2 linked regions of the Saccharomyces cerevisiae S288C genome follow. The protein of the gene in region 1 interacts with the protein of each later gene in a pairwise test. Each region holds a gene or a part of one and is shown in the gene's direction. Other genes may lie near its edges. The genes, in order: NAM2 and BI4.

Region 1 (5,492 bases):
AATTGTCCTCAATTCAGACTCACGTTCATGTTGGATGTCTCTTTCCTCATTCTTCACATCTTGCAAACTTACAACTAAAGAATTGTTTACCTCTCTCAATTTTTCATTAGCTTTTTCTAACTGTTCAAGCTCCTGTCTCATCTGATCTTTATCACCGCCCATTTCCTTCGTGAGTTCTTCTTCTAAATGCGCAATTGTTTTATTCAAAGCATCTACTTTTTTTCTACCTTGATCGATATTGCTTTGTGCTTCTGCTTGGTTGCTTTTCTCCTTTTCAAACCTGCTTTTGACATCTCTTAACAGTTCCCTTGCATTTTGATGCTCACTATCTTTTTCATTAACATAAATGACCTTTGCATCAATTTGCGCTTCAATAGTAGTACCATCAGATGTATATCTTTCAATCTTTTCTTGCCTATTCCTAATTTTCTCAGTAACTTCATCAACTTTCTGTTGAATGCCACTGATTTCATTCTCTAAATTTTTACAAGCATCTGTATTATGGGCAACATCGATCCATAACGATTTCGCTTGCAAAAGCATTTTCCTTTCGTTCAAGTCTGAAGTCTGATTTAATTCCCTTAACAGTTTTTTGGCATCTTCGTATTCAGCTTTCAAAGACTTCAAATTCTCCAGGTGCAGAGCCATATTTTCTTGTGCACTATCGTGAATAGCACTGGCGTAAAGCAAATTCTCGGTAATTTCTTGAAGTAAAGTACCCTTCATAAAATGGCTATACTTATCCTGTGAGGTACTAGCAGTTAAGAAAGACCTAGCAGCGTCTTGTGACAGGAAACACATGGGGTTGCTTACAGGAACAGAAAAATAGTCCACTACCGTCTGAATATCCTTTTTCTTATTGCTAATTTCCTTGCCGTTTTCCGACCTTAAACTAAAAGAAGCGGGCCCATCTCTCTTAATTATCCTTTCTACTATAATTTCGTTACCAAAAATACCTTGCTGATAAGCACCATACTTGCTATTATCCAGATGAAGGATGATTTTAGCAGAATAACAACCTTCACGAATCAAATCCTTCAAAGAGGAACCTCTGTTAGTCTCGCTAGCCTTGGCTCCCAAACCAATAGTAATGGCGGTCAAAATTGCACTTTTACCACTACCATTATTACCAACAATAAAATTCAGCCTAGAACCAAGCTCAAGTTCAAAATGTTCATGGCACATAAAGTTTCGCAAGATCACTTTCTTAATATATCCTGAAGGTGACTCTTCCAAAAAGTTATCTTGATCCGCCGTGGCCACGTCAGAGGAGCTCCTAAACCCGCTGTCTTCATCTAGTGTATTGCTGTTAAACTGTGTCATGGGGGCAAATTGATGACGTCTGCGTTTTCTCTGCTGCTGCTGCTCTTCGTTTTCCTGCTGCGCAGTCAGTGAAAGTAGCTCATCATCAACCTGCTCTATAGGTCTTTTACCACTAATCGTAGTCGAAATCATACCATTTAGCAATCTAACAAGAATATGCTCTTTATTATTATTAACAGCAGCTACTTATCTCTTGCGAACCTATATGCCTCTTGTCTTTTTTTCTTATTATGAACTTCACTACATGAAATATAAATATTCATGTTGATAGATCCAAACATTGAAATTTAGTATACGCGACGCGTTTTTGGCAAGTTTAACTTAGAATTTTCACTATAAAACAGAAATTTTGATAAAACTTGGATGAAAATGTTCCTTTTGCCTAACTATCAAATACCACAGAAAAATCTTTAATACCATGCCATACTACTCCTGGTCTGTTCATGAACTTGCTTGACATTTCCCTACCTCTGACACACTTTTTGATCCAAGAATCTCATTTCTTATCTCCGCGAAGAATCAAAGAAACCGAAGAAAGTCGTTTTGTTGCTCCGGTGGAGAATCAAGAACTTGGAGGAAGGAGCACAGCAGAGTGTTAAACAAGGCGCTAGTACTCTATATTGTAGAGTCTGTACGTGAATAAATCGACGTGTGTGTACGGTGGAAAAATGCTGTCTCGACCTTCAAGCCGATTCCTATCCACTAAAAGGGGCCCTGGACCTGCAGTGAAAAAATTAATTGCAATTGGGGAGAAATGGAAACAGAAGACAACCCGTGGCTTGCCTAAGCAGGATACTCTGAATAGCGGGTCGAAATATATTCTGTGCCAGTTTCCATATCCTTCTGGGGCGCTTCACATAGGACATCTCCGAGTTTATGTCATTAGCGACTCTTTGAATAGATTTTACAAACAAAAAGGGTACAACGTGATACATCCGATGGGATGGGATGCTTTTGGGTTACCTGCCGAGAACGCTGCTATAGAAAGAAGCATTAATCCGGCCATATGGACTAGGGACAATATTGCAAAAATGAAACAACAAATGCAAAGTATGCTGGCAAATTTTGATTGGGACAGAGAAATAACTACATGTGATCCCGAATACTATAAATTCACCCAATGGATTTTCTTAAAACTTTTTGAAAATGGCTTAGCTTATCGTAAAGAAGCAGAAATTAATTGGGATCCCGTTGATATGACAGTTTTGGCTAATGAACAAGTGGATGCCCAGGGCCGTTCTTGGAGATCAGGGGCTATTGTGGAAAAGAAGCAGCTAAAACAGTGGTTTTTGGGAATAACGAAATTCGCTCCTAAATTGAAAAAGCACTTGAACCAACTGAAGGACTGGCCTTCCAACGTGAAGCAAATGCAAAAAAATTGGATAGGCGAATCTGTGGGTGCAGAATTAGTGTTCAAAGTTGCGGACCCCAAATTTGAAAACTTGATTGTCTTTACAACAAGACCGGAAACTCTTTTTGCTGTACAGTATGTTGCTCTCGCATTAGACCACCCAATTGTACAAAAATACTGCGAGGAAATGCCGGATTTAAAAGAGTTTATACAGAAAAGTGATCAATTACCAAACGATACGAAGGAAGGATTTCAGTTACCTAACATAAAGGCCGTAAATCCCTTAACTAAAGAGGAAGTCCCCATATTTGCAGCTCCATATGTGGTCAGCAGCTATGGTTCAGCACCTAGTGCAGTAATGGGTTGTCCAGGACACGATAACCGAGATTTTGAGTTTTGGCAAACAAATTGTCCTGGTGAACATATCAAGACGTGCATAGCACCTTTTTTTGACGATGCTTCAAAAGTAACTGAACAGGAAAGACAAAGAATAATTGATACTGTCCCGTTCACATCTACTGACGGTGTCCTAACCAAAGAATGCGGAGAACACTCAGGAGTTCTCACTGTAGTGGCAAGGAAATCGATAATGGGGATGTTGAATAGCGAAGGACTGTCTAAGAGCGTCGTTAGATACAAAATTAGAGATTGGCTGATAAGTAGACAAAGATACTGGGGTACTCCAATACCCATCATTCACTGCGACAACTGTGGACCTGTCCCCGTTCCAGAAAGTGATCTACCTGTCAAGCTACCAGAACTTGAAGGCTTGGATACAAAAGGGAATCCGCTGTCCACAATCGATGAATTTGTAAATGTCGCCTGTCCTTCATGCGGGAGCCCTGCGAAAAGAGAAACTGACACCATGGATACTTTTATCGATAGTTCTTGGTATTATTTCAGATTCTTGGATCCCAAAAACACTTCAAAACCATTTGATCGTGAAATTGCAAGTAAAAATATGCCGGTTGATATTTATATTGGTGGAGTAGAACATGCTATCTTACACTTGTTATACTCAAGGTTTATTGCTAAATTTCTCGGATCTATCAATGCATGGAGCGACCCTGCTGGCATCTTCGAACCATTCAAAAAACTGGTGACACAAGGAATGGTTCAAGGGAAAACCTATGTTGACCCCGATTCTGGTAAATTTTTGAAGCCTGACGAGTTAACCTTTGTAAATGACTCTCCAGATGGCAACACAGTGATTATTAAATCAAATGGCAAGGTTCCGGTAGTCTCTTATGAAAAAATGTCGAAATCTAAATACAATGGTGCAGATCCAAATGAATGTATTTTAAGACATGGACCTGATGCTACGAGAGCACATATCCTCTTCCAAAGTCCAATTGCAGATGCCCTGAATTGGGATGAATCCAAGATTGTTGGTATAGAACGTTGGTTGCAGAAGGTTCTTCATTTGACCAAAAATATTCTCAGTCTCGAGAAGGATTTGGCAATAAGTAAAGACTACAAGACCCCGACCGACTTAAATGATGCAGAAGTGAAATTTCACAACGATTTCCAACGCTTCTTGAAATCAATTACGGAATCATTTGAAGTTAATCTATCGTTAAACACTGTAATATCTGATTATATGAAGCTAACCAATATTTTAGAAAGTGCATTGAAAAAAGGTGAAGTAAGGAATGAAATGATAGTACAGAATTTACAAAAGTTGGTAACCGTTATATATCCTGCTGTCCCGTCAATTTCAGAAGAAGCTGCAGAGATGATCAACTCCCAAATGGAATGGAACCAATACCGCTGGCCAGAAGTTGAGCGCACTACTGAGTCCAAATTCAAAAAGTTTCAAATTGTGGTAAATGGCAGAGTCAAATTCATGTACACGGCTGACAAAAACTTTTTGAAATTAGGTAGGGATGCTGTTATTGAAACTTTGATGAACTTACCGGAAGGGAGAATGTATTTGATGAATAAAAAAATCAAAAAATTTGTCATGAAATTCAATGTGATTAGTTTCTTATTCCACAAGTAATCATATGACGCCATGAATTTACCACTAGTGCTTGTAAATAGTTAAATATTAATGCCTTATAGATATAAATTGTCCAATCTCCTTTTTGGAAGTTATAATATATATATATATATATATATGTATATAAATGTGGATGCATATTCTAAGAATTTTGAACGCTATACTTTGAGAGACTCTTCAAATATGTAAACAAGAATGCTGCAATGTCTCTATATGGATTAGCAGTGTTACTCAAATGCATTAAAATCTTTACTCTCAAGTCGTGAATGTTATTAACGCCCTTTATCCAACCATGCTGGCCAATCTCATCATGATGAACTCGAAAGAAATTGTTAAACGTCTCTTCATTTATGATCCCACTGGTGAATTTTATTTTGGTATTTTCGGCCGTTTCCAGTCGTCTTAGAATAATAATACATATGTAGGATAGCGCTGGTATACCAGTTATCGTGAAAAATTTAGCGTTCTTGAAGTCTGCAGTTGGGATATAAAGATTCTCCAAAATCTGCTTAAAGAAATCTGGTGAGACTCCAAACAAACTTTTGGATGACAGAACTTTATTCCTGTAAAGATAATTTGTCAAATCCATGATATATTGGTTCTGCATCCGAACGAATTTGTTTGTTGACGGGTATTGCATCAATTTATTTTTCGTAGCAACCAAGTACCTGCACGCAGCTGATAATAGCAAAGGATCGTCCGAACTGAACACTTTATTCATGATGTCAGGGCCCACAATCAAATATTGGATCGCATAATCCGACTTCGTTTGTTTCGACAGTTGAGTTAAAATATCTAACGAGCTGATGAAAGCCA
Region 2 (8,013 bases), on another chromosome or scaffold:
AATATTATTTATCTCCCTTTTTTAATATTATAATAATTTTATTAAAAATAAAATAATAATAATAATTATAATTTATAATAACAATTATAATAATTTAATTAATTAATTAATTAATTAATTAATTAATTAATTAATTAATAATAAATATAAATATAAAAAGAATATAATTTATAATAAATAAATTTATATATATATATATATATTAAATAAAATATTTACTTCATTAATATAAAATATAAATATATTTAATTAATAAGTATATATATATAATAATATATAATAACCTATTTATATATATAATCTTAATATAATTATAAGAAATATTATATAAGTAATATATAAAAATAATATAAAATAATTATAATTCAATTTATATATTAATAGTTCCGGGGCCCGGCCACGGGAGCCGGAACCCCGAAAGGAGGAATAAGATAAATATATAAATTATATTAATAAATATAAATTTTAAATGAATTAATAAAATTAATATATATATGTATATATATATATATATTAAAAATATTTAATTATTTTTAGGAAGGAGTGATAGATCCCTTTGGGGGACCGAACCCCTATTTAAGAAGGAGTGCGGGACCCCGTGGGAACCGAACCCCTTTTTTATTTAAAGAAGAAGTTTTATTTTATTTTATTTTATTTTATTTTATTTTATTTTATTTTATTTTATTTTATTTTATTTAATTTAATTTTAATTAGGTTAATAAATAGTAATAATAAACTTAATAATAATAATAATAATTTTATTTTTATAATTTATTAATAATAATAATAATTATATATATATATATTATTAATAAATATAGACCTTATCGTCTAATGGTTACGACATCACCTCTTCATGTTGATAATATCGGTTCGATTCCGATTAAGGTTATTCATAATAATAAATATTTGTAAAAAAAGTATATATAATTAAACATATTCTTTATATTAATTAATAATTATTAATAATATACATTTTATATAATACAATTATATATATATATATATTTTTTTTTAATACAAATAATATATTCATAATAATAAATACCGATTGTTATTATACTATAATAAAATATATAATATATTTTTCATTATAATATTTTTAAATAAATATTATAATAAATTATATAAATAATATTTATGTATAATAATAATAATAATAATTGTTATTAATTAATTCTATAATTATTATATATTTAATTTTTTTTTTTAATATAATATATAATAATATAATTTATTTTATTTTTTTTTATAGTTCCGGGGCCCGGTCACGGGAGCCGGAACCCCGAAAGGAGAATATAAATTAATAATAATATAAATAACATATTAACAATAAATTATTGTTAATATAATAATAATAATAACAATATTAATAAATAATATAAAAATTATTAATATTATATTTATATAATATTAATATAAAAATCTTTCATAATATTAATTATTATTAAATAATAATGATATCATTAATATTAATATAATCGTCAATATTATTTATTTATTTATTTATTTATTTATTTATTTATTTATTTATTATTAAATAAATATTTTTAAATATTATATTATATTATTAACTTTTTATTAAAAAAATTAATAATGATATAATATAATTAATATTATCCACGGGACCAATGACCAACCCAGTAGTTGACCGGATTGGCGCCCGCGAGGTTTATATTTAATAAATAATAATAATAATATTAATAAAATCTATTAACTTTTTTTTTTAATGGATTATATTAATGAAAAAAAAATGAGAAATATCTTTTTTTTTTAATAATTATAATTTATATATAATAAAATATGTATATATAATAAAAAAATAGTTTTTAATATTATAATATAATTATATATATAATTATAAATATATATATATATAATAAGTATTAATTAATAATATATATTTATATATTTTTTATTAATTAATATATATAAAATATTAGTAATAAATAATATTATTAATATTTTATAAATAAATAATAATAATATGGCATTTAGAAAATCAAATGTGTATTTAAGTTTAGTGAATAGTTATATTATTGATTCACCACAACCATCATCAATTAATTATTGATGAAATATGGGTTCATTATTAGGTTTATGTTTAGTTATTCAAATTGTAACAGGTATTTTTATGGCTATGCATTATTCATCTAATATTGAATTAGCTTTTTCATCTGTTGAACATATTATAAGAGATGTGCATAATGGTTATATTTTAAGATATTTACATGCAAATGGTGCATCATTCTTTTTTATGGTAATGTTTATGCATATGGCTAAAGGTTTATATTATGGTTCATATAGATCACCAAGAGTACTATTATGAAATGTAGGTGTTATTATTTTCATTTTAACTATTGCTACAGCTTTTTTAGGTTATTGTTGTGTTTATGGACAGAGTGAGACAAGTATAAGTATATTATTATAATATCATACCATTAAATAAATTATTTTAATGAAATGATTATGTTTATATATAACATATACCTAATTAGACATGCATTATTAGTAATAATTTTGTATGAAACTCTAATAATAATAATTATTATTAATTATTAAGGTAAGATTCATATGGATAGCGTAAGTCAATCTAATATTATAAAATATCGTAACATAAACAATATTTTTTTCTATTATTAATTAATAAATAATAATAAATAAAAATAATTATATGAGAAGTAAGATATTCAATTCTGTCTAGAATACATATATATACGTTAATACTCATCGGTATAAAATTAGAATCCTAAGTGAATTATTGAAAGTATAATAATATAAACTTGGTAAGCCCAATTATTTCCATATAATATTAATATAAATATTATATGGTAGTTATATATAATATTATTAAATAAATAATAATAGAAATTATAATATAGATAAGTGGGTAAAAGACTATTGAAAAAGCTAAAGATTATATGTAATGTATAATATAGATCAAATTATTTATATATTTTAATAAAAATATATTAATAATGGTTAATATTATTATTAATTAATTAATTAATTAATTAATAATAATAACGAATAAATGATTAATGTGAAAGCATGCTAACTTCAATATAGGATGATTTATATAGTATATAAATTGTTTGAGCTGTATACTATGAAAGTAGTACGTACAGTTCTGAGTGGGGGAAAATTTGTAAAGATCTACCTATCACAATTGTCACATTGAGGTAATATAAATATCGCCTCAAATATATTTAATATAATAAAACTAATTTATATAATAATGTTAATATTATTAATTTATATTTTTTATACGATTATAATAAGACAAATAATAAAAACTAAAGAATATCTTATATTAATTAAGAGTATAGATTATATTAATAAAAATAAATATATAATTAATTTAAATATAACAAATAAGAAAGATATAAATAATAATATTGGTCCATTAAATATAAACATTTTATCAATTATTTATGGTTCAATATTAGGAGATGGTCATGCTGAAAAAAGAAAAGGTGGTAAAGGAACAAGAATTGTATTTCAACAAGAATATTGTAATATTAATTATTTATATTATTTACATAGTTTATTAGCTAATTTAGGTTATTGTAATACTAATTTACCTTTAATTAAAACTAGATTAGGTAAAAAAGGTAAAATTAGACAATATTTAAAATTTAATACATGAACTTATGATTCATTTAATATGATTTATTCAGAATGGTATATTAAAAATATATCTGGAAAAGGTAATATTAAAGTTATTCCTAAATCTTTAGACAATTATTTAACTCCTTTAGCTTTAGCTATTTGAATTATAGATGATGGATGTAAATTAGGTAAAGGTTTAAAATTCACAACTAATTGTTTTAGTTATAAAGATGTTCAATATTTACTTTATTTATTACATAATAAATATAATATTAAATCTACTATTCTTAAAGGCAATAAAGAAAATACACAATTTGTTATTTATGTATGAAAAGAATCTATACCTATTTTAACTAAAATTGTATCTCCTTATATTATTCCTAGTATAAAATATAAATTAGGTAATTATTTATAATAAAATATATAGTATTATATTAATTATTATATTATTATAATGCGATATTATTGAAAACATGTCAAAATTATATTATTAAGTAACAAGACAGTGGGTTATATAATTATATGATCCCAACAGAATACACCAATAATAGGTATTATTATAAAAAAAATAATAATATTTAATGTTTATTCGAAGAAAATTTATAATATTATTATTATAACACAAGGTTTAATAATCTATATATATATATTATATATATAACTACTGTTATTATTCCATTTACCTAATTAATATATAAATAATGAATTATAATTATTATGATTAATATTTTTATAATAATAACCCCATCATAACATTTATATATAACATTTATATATAACATTTATATATAATATTTATATTATGGTATTATTAGGTATAAATATTTATTCATAAGAGAAAATAGTGATTAAATGGAATTATAAAAAGGGTAGATATTATTAAATACAGGGTATTATTTATATTAATAAATCAATAAATATTGAGATTATTATTATTAAAAAATAATAATAATTTATAAATAATATTATTTTCTTGGCACTAGTTATTACTAATTTATTCTCAGCAATTCCATTTGTAGGTAACGATATTGTATCTTGATTATGAGGTGGGTTTAATATAGAGGATCCATATTATAGTAATATAATATTAAATAAATCTGTTTTATGCTGAAATATCTTCATTTGAATAATAAATTACTATATTATTCAATTAATTATTTATAATAATATAATTTGAAATAAAAATAATATAGTTAAAATATTTATTATAAGAAGAAAATTAGCAGTAATTAATATATATATATATATAAAATTAATTATTCAGAGACTTTATAGTTATTATATAAATAATACTATTATTTATGATAAAAATCATAAATTAAACACAGATAATCCTATTTATGCATATATTGGTGGTTTATTTGAAGGAGATGGTTGAATTACTATTTCAAAAAAAGGTAAATATTTATTATATGAATTAGGTATTGAAATACATATTAGAGATATTCAATTATTATATAAAATTAAAAATATTTTAGGTATTGGTAAAGTAACAATTAAAAAATTAAAAATAAAAGATGGTACTATTAAAGAAATATGTAAATTTAATGTAAGAAATAAAAATCATTTAAAGAATATTATTATTCCTATTTTTGATAAATATCCTATATTAACTAATAAACATTATGATTATTTATATTTTAAAGATAATTTATTAAAAGATATTAAATATTATAATGATTTATCTTATTATTTACGTCCTATTAAACCATTTAATACTCTTGAAGATATTTTAAATAAAAATTATTTTTCTTCATGATTAATTGGTTTTTTTGAAGCTGAAAGTTGTTTTAGTATTTATAAACCTATAAATAAAAAAATAAAACTTGCTAGTTTTGAAGTATCTCAAAATAATAGTATAGAAGTTATATTAGCTATTAAATCATATTTAAAAATTACTCAAAATATTTATACAGATAAATTTAATAATTCAAGAATAACACTTAAAAGTATTAATGGTATTAAAAATGTTGTAATATTTATTAATAATAACCCTATTAAATTATTAGGTTATAAAAAATTACAATATTTATTATTCTTAAAAGATTTACGTCTTATTCTTAAATATAATAATTATTTTAAAATTCCTCCTAAATATTAATCTTATATAAAAATATAATAATAATATATTTATATATTATATAATTATATAAACAAAATATAATTTATATATAATTATTTATTATAAATATAGTCCGGCCCGCCCCGCGGGGCGGACCCCGGAGGAGTGAGGGACCCCTCCCTATTCTAACGGGAGGGGGACCGAACCCCGAAGGAGTTTAATTATATATTAAATATATTATTATCAATAAATAATTCCTTTGAACTATTTATTATTTTATTATATTTATTTTCTCCTTCATTATTAATTTTTATTAATAATTAAAATCTTATCATTTTATGGTATTTTTATTTCTATTTTAGGATATCGAAACTATAAATTAAAAAGTATAATTTTATTAATTATAATTTATGATTAATAAATAAGAAATAAAAACTTTAGAAGTAATATTTATCTTTTTTTTTTATAAATAAATATTATGATTAATATATAATCATTTATAAATATTTATATATAATTATATATATACATAAATAGGATTAAGATATAGTCCGAACAATATAGTGATATATTGATAATAGTTTTCAAATATGTAACTATTTAAACATTAAAAGCTCAGTATCTAACCCTCTAATCCAGAGATTCTTTGCGTTACATTATTTAGTACCTTTTATCATTGCTGCAATGGTTATTATGCATTTAATGGCATTACATATTCATGGTTCATCTAATCCATTAGGTATTACAGGTAATTTAGATAGAATTCCAATGCATTCATACTTTATTTTTAAAGATTTAGTAACTGTTTTCTTATTTATGTTAATTTTAGCATTATTTGTATTCTATTCACCTAATACTTTAGGTCAAAATATGGCCTTATTATTAATTACATATGTAATTAATATTTTATGTGCTGTATGCTGGAAATCTTTATTTATTAAATATCAATGAAAAATTTATAATAAAACTCTATATTATTTTATTATTCAAAATATTTTAAATACAAAACAATTAAATAATTTCGTATTAAAATTTAATTGAACAAAGCAATATAATAAAATAAATATTGTAAGTGATTTATTTAATCCCAATAGAGTAAAATATTATTATAAAGAAGATAATCAGCAGGTAACCAATATAAATTCTTCTAATACTCACTTAACGAGTAATAAAAAGAATTTATTAGTAGATACTTCAGAGACTACACGCACACTAAAAAATAAATTTAATTATTTATTAAATATTTTTAATATAAAAAAAATAAATCAAATTATTCTTAAAAGACATTATAGTATTTATAAAGATAGTAATATTAGATTTAACCAATGATTGGCCGGTTTAATTGACGGAGATGGTTATTTTTGTATTACTAAAAATAAATATGCATCTTGTGAAATTCTTGTAGAATTAAAAGATGAAAAAATGTTAAGACAAATCCAAGATAAATTTGGTGGTTCTGTAAAATTAAGATCAGGTGTTAAGGCTATTAGATATAGATTACAAAATAAAGAAGGTATAATTAAATTAATTAATGCCGTTAATGGTAATATTCGTAATAGTAAAAGATTAGTACAATTTAATAAAGTATGTATTTTATTAAATATCGATTTTAAAGAACCTATTAAATTAACTAAAGATAATGCTTGATTTATAGGGTTCTTTGATGCTGATGGTACTATTAATTATTATTATTCCGGTAAATTAAAAATTAGACCTCAATTAACTATTAGCGTTACAAATAAATATTTACATGATGTTGAATACTATAGAGAAGTATTTGGTGGTAATATTTATTTTGATAAAGCTAAAAATGGTTATTTTAAATGATCTATTAATAATAAAGAATTACATAATATTTTTTATCTTTATAATAAAAGTTGTCCTTCTAAATCTAATAAAGGTAAACGTTTATTTTTAATTGATAAATTTTATTATTTATATGATTTATTAGCTTTTAAAGCACCTCATAATACTGCTTTATATAAAGCTTGATTAAAATTTAATGAAAAATGAAATAATAATTAAATTTTCTCCGTATTCATTATTATATTATCTAATTTATAAAATATTTAAAGATTCCTTATAATAATATAACATCTTTGTAAATTATTGTTAAAGATAATATAAATTATTATGAATCGGTAGATTATATTTTTACAATCTTATTAAATAAAATTCTGATCATTAAACATGATTGAAGAAATAATAATAGTTTATGAAATAAGATAGTGTAATATAAATTTTTATGAAGATATAGTCCATTTTATATTTATTATAAAAGCATCCTGATAACTATATTCCTGGTAATCCTTTAGTAACACCAGCATCTATTGATATTA

What was found.
Region 2: the proteins of NAM2 (region 1) and BI4 interact in a two-hybrid assay, tested with the Saccharomyces cerevisiae proteins (3 studies listed by BioGRID).

The regions. Positions count from the first base shown.
Region 1 is NC_001144.5:881,251-886,742, reverse strand, and holds NAM2 (leucine--tRNA ligase NAM2), read left to right. Parts: upstream 1-1,991; coding exon 1,992-4,676; downstream 4,677-5,492. Other genes in the region: DNA repair protein SMC6, read right to left, coding at 1-1,455; CTF3 (Ctf3p), read right to left, coding at 4,819-5,492. UniProt on the Saccharomyces cerevisiae protein: Catalyzes the attachment of leucine to tRNA(Leu) in the mitochondrion.
Region 2 is NC_001224.1:34,553-42,565, forward strand, and holds BI4 (intron-encoded RNA maturase bI4), read left to right. Parts: upstream 1-1,987; coding exon 1,988-2,402; intron 2,403-3,170; coding exon 3,171-3,184; coding exon of another isoform or gene 3,185-4,027; intron 4,028-4,588; coding exon 4,589-4,665; coding exon of another isoform or gene 4,666-5,713; intron 5,714-6,288; coding exon 6,289-7,699; downstream 7,700-8,013. Other genes in the region: cytochrome b mRNA maturase bI3, read left to right, coding at 1,988-2,402, 3,171-3,184, 4,589-5,713; cytochrome b mRNA maturase bI2, read left to right, coding at 1,988-2,402, 3,171-4,027; COB (cytochrome b), read left to right, coding at 1,988-2,402, 3,171-3,184, 4,589-4,665, 6,289-6,538, 7,956-8,006. UniProt on the Saccharomyces cerevisiae protein: Mitochondrial mRNA maturase required for splicing of intron 4 of the cytochrome b (COB) gene, containing its own coding sequence, and intron 4 in COX1, coding for the related homing endonuclease aI4.